Linked DNA regions of Mus musculus. The protein of the gene in region 1 purifies or fractionates together with the protein of each later gene. This does not show direct contact. Links are inferred from orthologs where the notes say so. Each region holds a gene or a part of one and is shown on either strand. Other genes may lie near its edges.

What was found. The genes of interacting proteins can lie anywhere in the genome.
Region 2: the proteins of Rc3h1 (region 1) and Serbp1 purify together in Homo sapiens (affinity purification with mass spectrometry, with the first as the bait; 3 studies listed by BioGRID). This does not show direct contact. The link is inferred for Mus musculus from reciprocal best matches to the Homo sapiens genes RC3H1 and SERBP1.
Region 3: the proteins of Rc3h1 (region 1) and Cnot10 purify together in Homo sapiens (affinity purification with mass spectrometry, with the first as the bait; 3 studies listed by BioGRID). This does not show direct contact. The link is inferred for Mus musculus from reciprocal best matches to the Homo sapiens genes RC3H1 and CNOT10.

What each region holds. Positions count from the first base shown.
Region 1 is NC_000067.6:160,961,869-160,965,467, forward strand, and holds part of Rc3h1 (roquin-1), read left to right. Parts: intron 1-402; coding exon 403-616; intron 617-1,610; coding exon 1,611-1,701; intron 1,702-1,839; coding exon 1,840-1,972; intron 1,973-3,081; coding exon 3,082-3,252; intron 3,253-3,599. UniProt on the Homo sapiens protein: Post-transcriptional repressor of mRNAs containing a conserved stem loop motif, called constitutive decay element (CDE), which is often located in the 3'-UTR, as in HMGXB3, ICOS, IER3, NFKBID, NFKBIZ, PPP1R10, TNF, TNFRSF4 and in many more mRNAs.
Region 2 is NC_000072.6:67,265,583-67,269,828, reverse strand, and holds the start of Serbp1 (plasminogen activator inhibitor 1 RNA-binding protein), read right to left. Parts: upstream 2,851-4,246; 5' UTR 2,733-2,850; coding exon 2,420-2,732; intron 1-2,419. UniProt on the Homo sapiens protein: Ribosome-binding protein that promotes ribosome hibernation, a process during which ribosomes are stabilized in an inactive state and preserved from proteasomal degradation.
Region 3 is NC_000075.6:114,637,351-114,641,609, forward strand, and holds the start of Cnot10 (CCR4-NOT transcription complex subunit 10), read right to left. Parts: upstream 2,851-4,259; 5' UTR 2,591-2,850; coding exon 2,569-2,590; intron 660-2,568; exon of another isoform or gene 40-659; intron 1-39. UniProt on the Homo sapiens protein: Component of the CCR4-NOT complex which is one of the major cellular mRNA deadenylases and is linked to various cellular processes including bulk mRNA degradation, miRNA-mediated repression, translational repression during translational initiation and general transcription regulation.

The sequences.
Region 1 (3,599 bases):
AGTAACATTACCAAAGTAATGCTAATTCCTTAAATTAGGAAAAATAAAATAAAACTACTAACCTAGTATAGATGCCATTAAAAGTTTTTCCAGATACATGAAAGAAGCCTTAACTCAGTGCCTCTCAGCATTGACTTATAGCTCAGGGGTAAAGTGCTTGCCTGACAAGTTAATGTTCATACATATGACTTAGGAATGGGTAGATTTATCATCTACTATCATCTGTCTGTAATTGTTGGTCATATAATTCTTACTGTGATCTAAAACCAATGTTTTATATGACATCCAAAGACAGCTAAAGACTTATTCTTACTAATAAGAACATCATACTCTTATTAACAACCCCTTTACAGAGCTGGTAGAAATTATGCTAAACATACTCTCATTTTTGCTTTTTGTTAGAATGTAGAAAGTAAAGGAACGAGAGAGCAGAGGTTGGACCTTCAGAGAAGAGCAGTGGAGACGAGCGATGATGACCTCATCCCGTTTGGAGACCGACCAACAGTCTCTCGATTCGGTGCCATCTCTCGAACATCCAAAACACTGTATCAGGGTGCTGGCCCACTGCAAGCTATAGCACCTCAGGGAGCACCCACAAAATCTATTAACATTTCCGGTAAGAATCCTAGAGTGGTAATTATGATTCTCAATGTAATTCTATCAGTGCTTTTAAGACTTTTTTTTAAAGATTTATTTATTGGTTATATGTAAGTACACTGTAGCTGTCTTCAGACACTCCAGAAGAGGGAGTCAGATCTCATTACAGATGGTTGTGAGCCACCATGTGGTTGCTGGGATTTGAACTCCGGACCTTTGGAAGAGCAGTCGGGTGCTCTTACCCACTGAGCCATCTCACCAGCCTGCTTTTAAGACTCTTAAAGGCAATTATTAAACTTTTCCCTATAAGAAAGCAATTGCACTTCAGGCAATTTTAGGAGTATAAACTAAAATTAACTCTTTCTATATTAAGACTGCTTGAGGGGCTAAGGTGTAAAGCTCAGTTGATAGAGTGTATGCCTAATATATATGAGACCCTGTATTCAATACCCCAAACCACATAAACCAGCTATGGCACATGCCAGTAATCCTAGTACTGGAGAGATGGAGGTAGGGAGATCGGAATGTTCAAGTGCAGCTTTGGGTGCATAGGGATTTCAAGGCTATTCTGGGCTAATGATCCTGTCTCAAGGGGGGGGGTGCTGCTTGTGACTTTTATCTTAAATAACTTCATTATTTATTAAAATAAGATTCTTGGAGTCTGAGGAGGTGACTGGCTGGATAAAGAAGATCTGAGTTTGGATCCCCAGTACCCACATAAAATGTAGGCGTGCGTGCGCGTATGCGTATGTGTTGTGTGTGTAATCCTAGTGCTTTGGGAAGATAATCTGACACCAACCCTCACCCCTACATTCAAACACTCGTGCACACAGTGAAAAGAAAGTATGCAAAACCTGAAGGTTCAATGGGGAAGAAACAAATGCATTGTCATTTTGGCAGACAGCTTTCTGCAGAGACAGATACCGTGTGCCGCTGCCTTCTGGATGATAGTGCCTTAGATGAATCAAACTGGTAAATGACATCATAAACCACAGTAAACTGTTCCTTTACAGATTACAGTGCATATGGAGCTCATGGTGGCTGGGGAGATTCTCCATACTCACCTCATGCAAACATACCTCCTCAGGGACACTTCATTGAGAGGTACAGCCATTCTTGTTCACTTGTTATAAATATCTGAAACATTTAGCTTTCCTTGCTTTGTTTTCTAGTCAGTAGTGATTTCACAAAATAAAACTTTATACAAAATTTACCTAATGGTTTCTTTCTTTTTTACCAAAGGGAGAAAATGTCCATGGCAGAAGTGGCCAGTCATGGAAAACCCCTTCTATCTGCTGAAAGAGAACAATTACGGCTAGAATTGCAGCAGCTGAACCATCAGATCAGCCAGCAGACCCAGCTACGAGGACTAGAGGTACAGACCTACAGATACTTTTTTCTTGTGTCAGGAATTTTGATGTAGAGTACCACTGTGTAGCCCACATGGCTTCAGACTCAGGATCCTCCTGTGTGGCCACATTGGTACTTACATCGAGCTTTCAGTGTTCAGCACTGTGCCCGTTTTGTGCTCTAGTTCTGAAGAGCTCCCAAGAATGTTAAGTTGGATATAATTTTCTTTCATCGTGTATATGTATTTTGTGGGGTGGTATGTGCACATGAATACAGATGTTGGAGGATCTGCCTGGAGCTGGAATTATAGCAGTTGTTGTAGGCCTCCTGACATGTATGCTGAGAACAAAACCCAGGGCATCAACAAGAGCGGTATCTGATCCTAACCATCAAAACACCTCTCCAGTCTCCTTAAATAGTAAGTTCTGAGACACAGTAAAGCAGCACGTAATTTTAAAGCCTTTGCCTAACGTTAGTATAGATATCCCTTCTTCAGAGGATTCAGAACTAAATTTAGTTCTTGGCTAATAGAAAAAGAATATTGTCTGAGAATAAACAGTAGTGGAGGAAAAAGGAAAGAAAGCCTGCCTCAAGAACATTGAGTTTTTATAGAAAAAAATATAGGATTTACATCATGGAAAATAGCAATGAGAAAGAAAGATACACATTTATAATTGATTTCTCTTTGAAATAGGAAAAAAGATTAAATTATTTTTGGTGCTGGAAATATGTCTTACCATTCTTGCAGAGGATACAAGTTTGGTTCCTGTCTTACAACTGCCTATAACTCAAGCTCCTGGGGATCCAGCTCTCCTTCTGGCAGCCATAGGCATCTGCATTTCTGTTTAATGTGTACATCGCAACATTCACACACGCCATCTCTGTCTCTGTCTCTGTCTCTCTCTCTCGAAAATAAAACACATCTTTTAAAACTCACTCTCCCTTAAAAATAAAATACATCTTTTAAAATTAAAACCATGTTTCTCAAGTGCTATTAAGACAAAATGTGTTTATAGTTGGGTTATTTTTACTGCAAACTTGTGGCTAGTTTAGTGGTAAAATACTTTGGGTAAAGTGTTTTCTATGTGGCATGAGGTGCGCTGAATTATGTGTGTGCTTGGCTTTGTGCACTAGGCTGTTAGTAACCGGCTGGTGTTACAGAGGGAGGTGAACACCCTGGCAAGCCAGCCACAGCCCCCTCAGCTGCCTCCAAAATGGCCTGGAATGATCTCAAGTGAGCAGCTCAGCTTGGAACTGCATCAGGTGGAAAGAGAAATTGGGAAGAGGACCCGGGAATTGAGTATGGTGAGTGCTGAAGGTGGGGAAGGTGGAATGAACTCTGTGACTCTAGAGCTGATTCCAGGTACCTTGAGGAATAAGTAATATTTAGGGTGATTCTAATAAAGATGAGTTGTCATCTGGTGGTATTATTATTTTAGGTTTGTCCTTTGTCAAAGACTTTGGGGAAAACAAGGGAATTAATTAGAAATTTTAAAGTTTCTGTTTAATGTACTCATTAGGGAAGCAGATGGGATGGTTGCTCTTTTGGACTCTGTAATATTAAGATATGTTTACACAATAAAATGTTACTTTTCATGGTCTTTTATAGAAGAGATATATAGTCTGTACACTGTTCTCTGTACTGCTTTTTC
Region 2 (4,246 bases), on another chromosome or scaffold:
TATCTTTAACTATAGTCATACAGTAAAGGTGAAATTCCTTAATATTTAAGCTCAGTCTCTGTAAATTCTCAGGGCAAGCCTTAAATGTAGCCCTTATGCCGTGGCATTTACATAAATTTCATCAGAGGTATAGTGTATTGGGGTGGAGCTATAGAACCAGCTCAGAACTTGTAATGATAACCAAGCTAAACACACCCAAGGAACAATGGCTTGCTTCCCCACCCAATATTCAGTATGAGGCCTACATAATCAGAAAAAAACTTACTAAACTCATCAAGTGGTTGGGAGTGTAGCTCAGTGAGAGCTACTTTCACTTAGTTTGCAAAATGCTGGGTTCGGCCACTTTTACCACAAAATATAAATTCATCTACTGAAAAAAAATTTTTTAAAAAGCATACAAGGTTCTTTTACTGTACTTACCAGATACATGAGTTTCTTAACTGCACTAATATCCAGAGTTGCTTTTCTTTTTTTGCTAAACACAAAAAACCTGGTCTACTTTTAATGACATTTTGCCAATTCAAGTTCTTCAAATAGACAAATGCATCAAAATTTATGTAGAAAAACATTACATTCCAGCATTGTGTTCCCGAGACACAGGACACACCATAGGTTAACAATTGTTTCCACTCTTACAGATAGGTACTTTGTTTACAAGTCTACCAACCACCACCACACAGCACTAACTGGAAGTTTTATTCAAAATTTCCCCATATGTATATATAACCTTATTTAAAATCAACTCTGGTTTTAAAGAGTGATCTAAGGGTTTGAGATGTGTAATGCAAAATTTTCCCCAGCAAGGACAAGGTTCTAAGTTCAATACCCAGTACAACCCATGGAAGACTTGGACGTAACTAAAAAAAAGGTTGACTACTATTGTGAAAAAGTTTTCTGAAGTAAATGACAAACGTAATCCTGGCTATAAATAAAAATGTCCTCCATTGATGACTTATGCTAGTTTACAGGCAAGATCATAAATTGGCTTTGTGATGAAAATTGAATAATTTAAAATCATGCTTCATGTTTTGACCATTTTTTGAGTTCATCTATGTGATGTGTTTTATTTACTCAACTTATTCATGTACTTCTGTGAATTACAGTCATAAAGGAGGTAAATTTTAGTAGTTTAAATAACACTATCTAGTGTCCCTAACACAGAAATTAAATGTCTTATTCAACTATGTAATGTCAAGAAGCTTAATCCGCTCAGTACTTCTGCCCAAGTGATGTTTTCTAACACTCCAGACTATGCTTCCAAATATATTAATAGAACTCTTCCCTTTTATAAATCTACTAGGAACTGGATGTTTTACTCTAAGCCTTCATTGAAAGACACCACCACCCCCAAAAAACTTCAAACCTAACACAATCTAATGAGAAACAATTCCTTTCATGAGCACGTGGCATTGAGAGGCACTTTAACATAATACCAATTTTAAAGATTCACAGGTTATTCTATATGTACTCGCTATTGATTTTTCACTTTTTTAGCCCCTAATTGCTTTGCCTTTTCATCCACAATAAGCCAGTAATGGAGAAGAATGCTAAAATCAAAACAACTATGAAACTTCTAGTGCCCTTGAAGAGACCATTAGCCGCCAATGAAGACCCGACCACGCTTTACGCACGTGCGGAGGAAAAGCTGCAGCCTGAGTTCTGCTGCCGGGACATGACAGGCTGGGCACTCATTTCGCCCACGAGGCCCAGAACAAGCAAAGCCCTATGACCTGGGGGCTCCAGGGAGTTAGTTGGAAGAAGAGATGGAGACATGAGATGGGTTCCACTAATGACCAGTTTTTTATTCGGAACTCCCTCTAAAATGAGTGGGGCTAAATTCTTCTCCTCTCCAACACTTTAGTTCTCGCCAGTAAGTTACAGGAACTTCTTCTAACGTAAGAGCGAAAGGGCACAACACAAAACACACACGTGGGACCCAAACAGCAACTCCTCCCTCCCTCCACTCTAACAGGGACCCCCAAACGGAGACGCAGCCCAAGTGGAAACTCTGAGCCCGGGCCTTTCCTTGAGGGTCCGCGCCATTGTGGGACAAGATGGCAGGGCAGGAGCCCACAGCAGGCAGCGGCAGCCAGGAGCCCGCCGGGCAGGAAGCAATGCCCGCGCTGCTTCCCGAGCGCCTAGAGCCAGGAGGCTAGCGCCCGGCAGGAATCGGCGGGAACGCCCGGGCCGCCCTCTCGGAGCACGCTCCGTCCGCCCGAGGCGGGAAGGAAGGCTCCCGCCGAGCCTGCGAGCGAGCAAGCGACCGAGAGAGCGGCGTGGACTTGGGACCAGCCACGTTCCCCGCACCGTGAAGGGGCTCCGAGGGCTCTGCGGCCCCGCCGCCTGCACGAGCAAGCGGCGGCGCACGCCCCCGTCCTGCCCGCCAGCCCGGGCTCCCCACCGCCTCGCCCGGCTTTACCTTCTTTCTTAAGCGCCACCGGCGGCTGCGTCTCCTCCTTTTTGTCGGCCACGCCGACGCTGGGGGGCAGCGGGTTCTTGCGGTCTTTCTGGGACTCTTTACGCAACTGTTTGCCCGCCGCGTTGGAGTTGGTCTGGGCCGCGGCCTGAGCCGCGCTCTTGGCCCCGGGGCCCCCAACGCCGCCCCCGCCGGCTTCTTTTTTCTTGTTCTCTGCTGCCTTCAGTACCTCGAAAGGGTCCGATTCGTCGTCAAATAGCTGGTCGAATCGGTTGGTGACCACGCAGCCGAAGCCTTCCTGTAGGTGCCCAGGCATGATGGTGGCTCGGCGGCGCGTTCCTCCACGGATTGCAGCGGACCGCGCCGAGCCAAAAGCGCCTGCTTCAGCTCTTCCCACAAGATGGCCGGGCCGAGAGAGGGGGGCCGCCTTCTCTTCCGGCGCCAAGCACACATCCGGGAGCGGCCTGCGCCGCACGGCACCATGGGGCCTGTAGGCCACAACTGATTAGCCCGGGATGGCTGTCTACTCCTGAACTTCAACTCCCAGCGTGCACTGCGCAGCAACTCTTCGCGCGCGCCTGAGAGGCGGGATCTCAAGGAAAGTGTGCAGCGTGCTCGCTGAAGGTGGGGAAGCGAGTACGGGGCGGAGTTCTGCCACCTGCTCTTGTCACCCTTAAACTCTCGGTCTTTAGATACCTCTGAGAACAGGAAAACGTGAGGGCGTCTTCTGCTCACGAAAGTGTTCTCTGTCTTTGGTTTCACTCATTCTGTCTCCGGCCAGGACTTTCCCCACCTTTCTGGGAGGGTCAAGGTGACTCCCAGACCTAGTAACTGGAGCCTCAAAAACTTCCGGGGGGTGGGGGGTGCCACAGTAGCCTCCGGTAGGTTGCGACCGCACGGCTGCTCGTCCCTGACTGTTGGATTTCTAGAGCTGTCCCTCCACCCTTCGTAACGAATCAAGGCAATTCGGTTTAATGTGGAACGGAGTTCCAGGGTTGAATCTGCGTGGCAGAAGGAATCCAAAAGAGGAGTTGAACTAATTGGGTTGCGCGCCTTTTCCGGTCATTGCAACCATGCTTTAAGAGCTGTTAAGTCCTGACTGCACAACTGCACGCTCGGCCATCCTCTAAAACAGTGTTTGTGGAAACGCTTTCTAGAATCAACGCGATAAATTGATCTGTCGGTATCTGGTCAGCGGTGTTAGTAAAATGTGCTCCAGAGCCTGGGGTGGTGGCGCATGCCTTTAATCTGAACACTTAGGAGGCAGAGTTCAAGGCTAACCAGGTCTACAGAGCAAGTTCCAGGACCGCAGGGATTTCATAAGAAAAAACCCTGTCTCCAGCTCCCCAAATGTGCTCAAGAGGAAATGTTTTATAGTACATTGGGTATTATGTGTGAAGGGAGGAAACTAATTTCGTAATTATATGCTAACTCTGACATTAGTTGGGAACCTTAAATCCCACTAAGACAATCCAGTGCCAATACACACTATAATTTTAAATCTTTTCCATTGATACATTATGTAATAGAAAACATACCTCAGGCAGCAGGTGCTACGAATGTTTCATCCTCACATCCTTTTAGATAAATAACTATCCCTTTCTCACAGGGATGAAACTGTCAGAATTGATAAAACTTACTAAGGTCACACTTAAGTGCTAGTGGCAATCTTCTAGCTGCACTATGAGACTGTTGACATCAATTCTGTAAACCAAGTTCTGTCCTGATAGAAATTACAACAAGTGCTGAAATTCCAATAACTAATCAAGTTTAAACAACCCTTTGAATCCGTCTCCTGGATCAACAGAATGAAAGGCAAAATGGGATTCC
Region 3 (4,259 bases), on another chromosome or scaffold:
GCCAAGGAGACACACAAGGACTCTGTTCCTCCCTTTTAGATGCCCTTGAACAACCGGAAGAAGAAAGCAGGAGGAAGCAACACAGACAAATCCTCTCCCCGTGTGCTACTTTCAAAAACTGCTTCCAGAGGCTGTTTTTCCAGAGGGGGCCATGGTGAGGCCCCTTAAAAAAACTCCCACAGGAAGTGATTGCCACGGCTTCTCAGAGCCCATGGTGGATCAAGAGCAGGGATGGAATACACTGTGTCTCCCCTTCACTTCCTGGACCCTGGGCTGGCACTTTCCAAATAAGTTTAACATGTCTCTTCTGCCTCTTTCACCACTACCATAAGAAACACTGGCTGGTGCTGTTTACTTGCGTGTGCGTGTGTCAGAGACAACCTGGAGAAGGCAGTTTTCTCTGCATGAGTCCTGGGGATGGACTCAGGTGTCAGGCTTGAAAGAAAACACCTTTACCCACTGAGTAAAGTGCTGATAAAGTACTACTCGGGTGGTAGTGGTGCTGGCAGCTGGGTCAGCACACGCTTTGATGCCAGCCTTCTGAGGTAGAGGCAGAGGCAGAGGCAGGTGGATTTCCTGCTTTTGAGGCCAACCTGGTCTACAGAGGGAGTTCAAGGACAGACAGGGGCAACACAGAGAAATCTTGTCTCGAAAAAAAACCTAAAAAAAAAAAAAAGAAAAGAAAACAAAACAAAACAAAAAGAAAAGTGTAAGAGAGCAACTACGAGGACCCAACAGCCAGAACCATGCCACTTAACCCAGCAGAGGTCCAGAGTGCAGGTCCTCAGAGGCAGGCTGTCTTACACTCACTTCATCATCTGAAGGATGCCTGCACAGTGTCTTTGTGAAGGAAGGAAGCAAGCAGTGAAGGAACGCCACGTGACTGAGGTGCAACTCAAGCCGGGCAGTCCTGGATCTGGTGAGACGCTTCCCGGGAAATGATTCCAGAAGCAGCACTGTTTTGATTAACAAGGACAGTCCCGGTCCCGTCTAGACCCGGGCAGGCAATTGGCACCCTTCTTGCATCCCACACCAACAGGATCACCCCTTCACTTTATTCAGATCTGTGCTCAATACTATCCCAGCAGGAGCTGGATCAGCAGGGGCTCGGTGGGTAAAGATACTTGCGCCCTGATGATTGGATTTGATCCTTGAAAGCCAAGACATGCAAATCACCTTGGTGCTCAGTGATTAAAAGCACACACTGCTCTTCAGAGGGCCTGAGTTTGATTCCCAGCACCCACAACTACCTGTAACTCCAGCTCTGCGTGACCCAACTCCTCGGACAGCATCTTCAGGCATTTGTCCTCACGTGCATACACCCAAAGTTAAAAATAACTTTAAAAAAGGAATCACCTCACAATAGATTTTCTCTGATCACCTAGCTAAAATTCTATGGCAGTGGGTATAATGGCACACAACTTTAATTTAGCACTCAGGAGGCTTTATGTCTAGTGAGTTTGAGAATAGCCTGGTCTATATAGCGAGCTCCAGGACAGCCAAGGCTACATACATAGTGAGACCCTGCCTCAATCAATCAATCAATCAATCAACCAATCAATTCCGCCCCACTCTCTAAACATTACTTTCTTCAAAGAAATATAGCAGACTTTCCAGGTAATAAATGGGCTCTCATAATTCCCTAATGGGAAAAATTCCTGATGGAGTACCACAGAAAACCACAGAAATTAAGAACTTTATCTTGGGACTGGAGAGATAACTCAGCGGTTAAGAGCACTGACTACACTTCCGTAGGTCCTGAGTTCAAAATCCCAGCAACCACATGGTGGCTCACAACCATCCTTAATGAGATCTGATGCCCTCTTCTGGGGTGTCTGAAAAACAGCTACAGTGTACATACATATAATGAATAAATAAATAAATAACTTAAAAAAAAAAAGAACTTAATCTTGGGGCTGGAAAGGTGATGGCTCAGCGGTTAACAGCACTCGCTGCTCTTGCCGAGGACCAAGACTGGGTTCCCAGCACCCACAAGTGGTGGCCCACAACTGTGTAACTCCAGCTCCAGTAGACGCAATGTCCTCTTCTAGTCTCGGCAGGCACCTGCACTCACACACATAATTAAGACTTTTAAAAAGGAATCTCGAGGAGCTCGGGAAAAATCAGATGAGGAACAAGGTAAGTGAGAGCAGGCAGGAGACACAGTGAAACGTCACGCCTCTTTAGACAGTTTTCAGAATGACTCCACTGGACACGCTGACCAGAGGGAACTTTTTCAGTGGCTGAGCCTGGGGGGGCCTTACGGCAACCGTGCGTGCTCGGATAGACTTTCCCTTAAAGCGTCTGGACAGCGGCGTGACAAATTCAAGCTTCCTGCGCCAGAATTAACTTGGAGAGCAAGGCAAATGCAGTGCAATCAAGATGGGGTGCAGTAGAATCAAGATGTGTCACAGCAGAAAATCCACTGGACTCACAGTAGAGACAGCTGAGAAGAGTGAAGGGCACAAGTACCCAAGCGAAGTCAAGTGGCCCTCGGGTCCCCCACGCGGGCCCTGCCGTCCCCGCGCGCAGTGTGTCAGCCCCTGGGTCGCGGCGCGGGCGCCTCACCTGCAGGCTTGTCTGCAGCCATCTTCCCGCCTCGGCTCGAGTTCCTCCCTGTAGGTGGCGTGGCCCCGACTCCCGCCGCCGGGCTGGTGGTGAGTCCTACCGGCGGGGGACAACTCTTCAGCTCAAGCCCGCTCCAGTCGCCTCGGCTAAGGTCCTGGGCGGGCCACGGGCTGAGGAAGTGACGAAGTTACTGCTCGTCGTCTAGCAACAGCGCCAACACATCCGCCGGTGCAGGGCTGTTTTCCCCGCCATCCACAGCTTCCGTCCCGTAGCGGCCAAGGGAGACGCTACTTCCGGGGCGGGGCCAGCTGGGCGTGGGAATTAGGGCTGGCCTCGGCCCCGGAAGCGCGTCCTTCTGCAAACCCGGAAGTACACTAGTGTAGGTCCTGAGTGAAACACAGAAGGGGAAGGACTTTTTGTTCCGCATTTCAGCAAAATGGCAGGCACCACACCTGAGGTTTATGTGCTAAGCTCTGAGTCTCATAGGGGCTGTTTTTCCATAACAATGAGGATGAGAGAAGTGTTGTTAGAGGAGGCCACCTCCCCCAGAAAAAAGGCTTTTTTTTTTTTCAAAGTTTCAGAGCTGTTTTGTTATTTGTAGCCAAGTTGAAAAAGCCATTCAGACTGCATTATGCATGCGGTTTCTCTGATTGCGAGTCATGCAACCATTAACTTACTATGGTAGGTCGGTCTAAGACAAAAGCTTGATGCATCACGATTACTAAGCACAATGATTTAGATTCAAGTTCAAATCCTCTGCAAAAACAATACCCACTCTTCAACTACCCAGCTCCCAACTATCTCATCTCTAGCCCATATCGTGACAAATTTTTGTTTGTTTGTTTGTTTAATTTTTTGAGACAGAATCTCACTATGTATCCCTATCTGGCAGTCTTTGTGGCAAAGGCTTTAACCCTGAACTGGTTCTGGTTTTGCTCAATGACCATAGCCTTGGGTTCCAGAAGCACCTACTCCATTCTTCCTTTCCCTTCTAGAGAACAAACAGCATTTATAATAACAGAGGTTCATTTCACGGAGAGAAACAGACATTAAAAGCATTTGTGTTAGACTTTTTGCTTCTGTGATAAATACCCTAGAGGAGAATTTAAATGAGGAAGGATGGATTTTTTGCCTCGTGTATCAGAGTTTTCAGTCCCAGGTCACTTGGTTCCATTGTTTTTGGACCATTAGTGAAGCAGTGCATTGTGCCAGGGCACAAGTGACAGAGTAAAGTTGTTGCCTTCCTGGTGCTAGAAGCAGAGGAAGCTGGGAGAAGAAATAGTCTCCAAGGGCACATGCAACTGAGATACTTAGCCCCACTGGGCCGCACCTCCTTAATTTCCATTACTTCCTAATGATGCACCAAATTACGAATCTGCAAGTGGATGAATCCAAGGATAGCTCCAAACTGTTGGAATCCTATTATCACTCTCAAGGACTGGGGGCCGGGCCTCCTATATGCAGGCTTTTGAGGGAGAGGAACTTCATATATAAATGACAACAGCACTGAATTGTAAAGTGACCCAAATGGTGCTTTGATGGGAGCATAGTTAAGTATGTAAATAAATAAATCACATGGAGCTATTTATTTGGTTTACATTTTTCTATTTTCTGTGTAGCTTACCTTAGAGATCTGCCTGTTTCTGCCTCCCGAGTGTTGGATTAAAGGCTGCACCATCACACCAGGTACT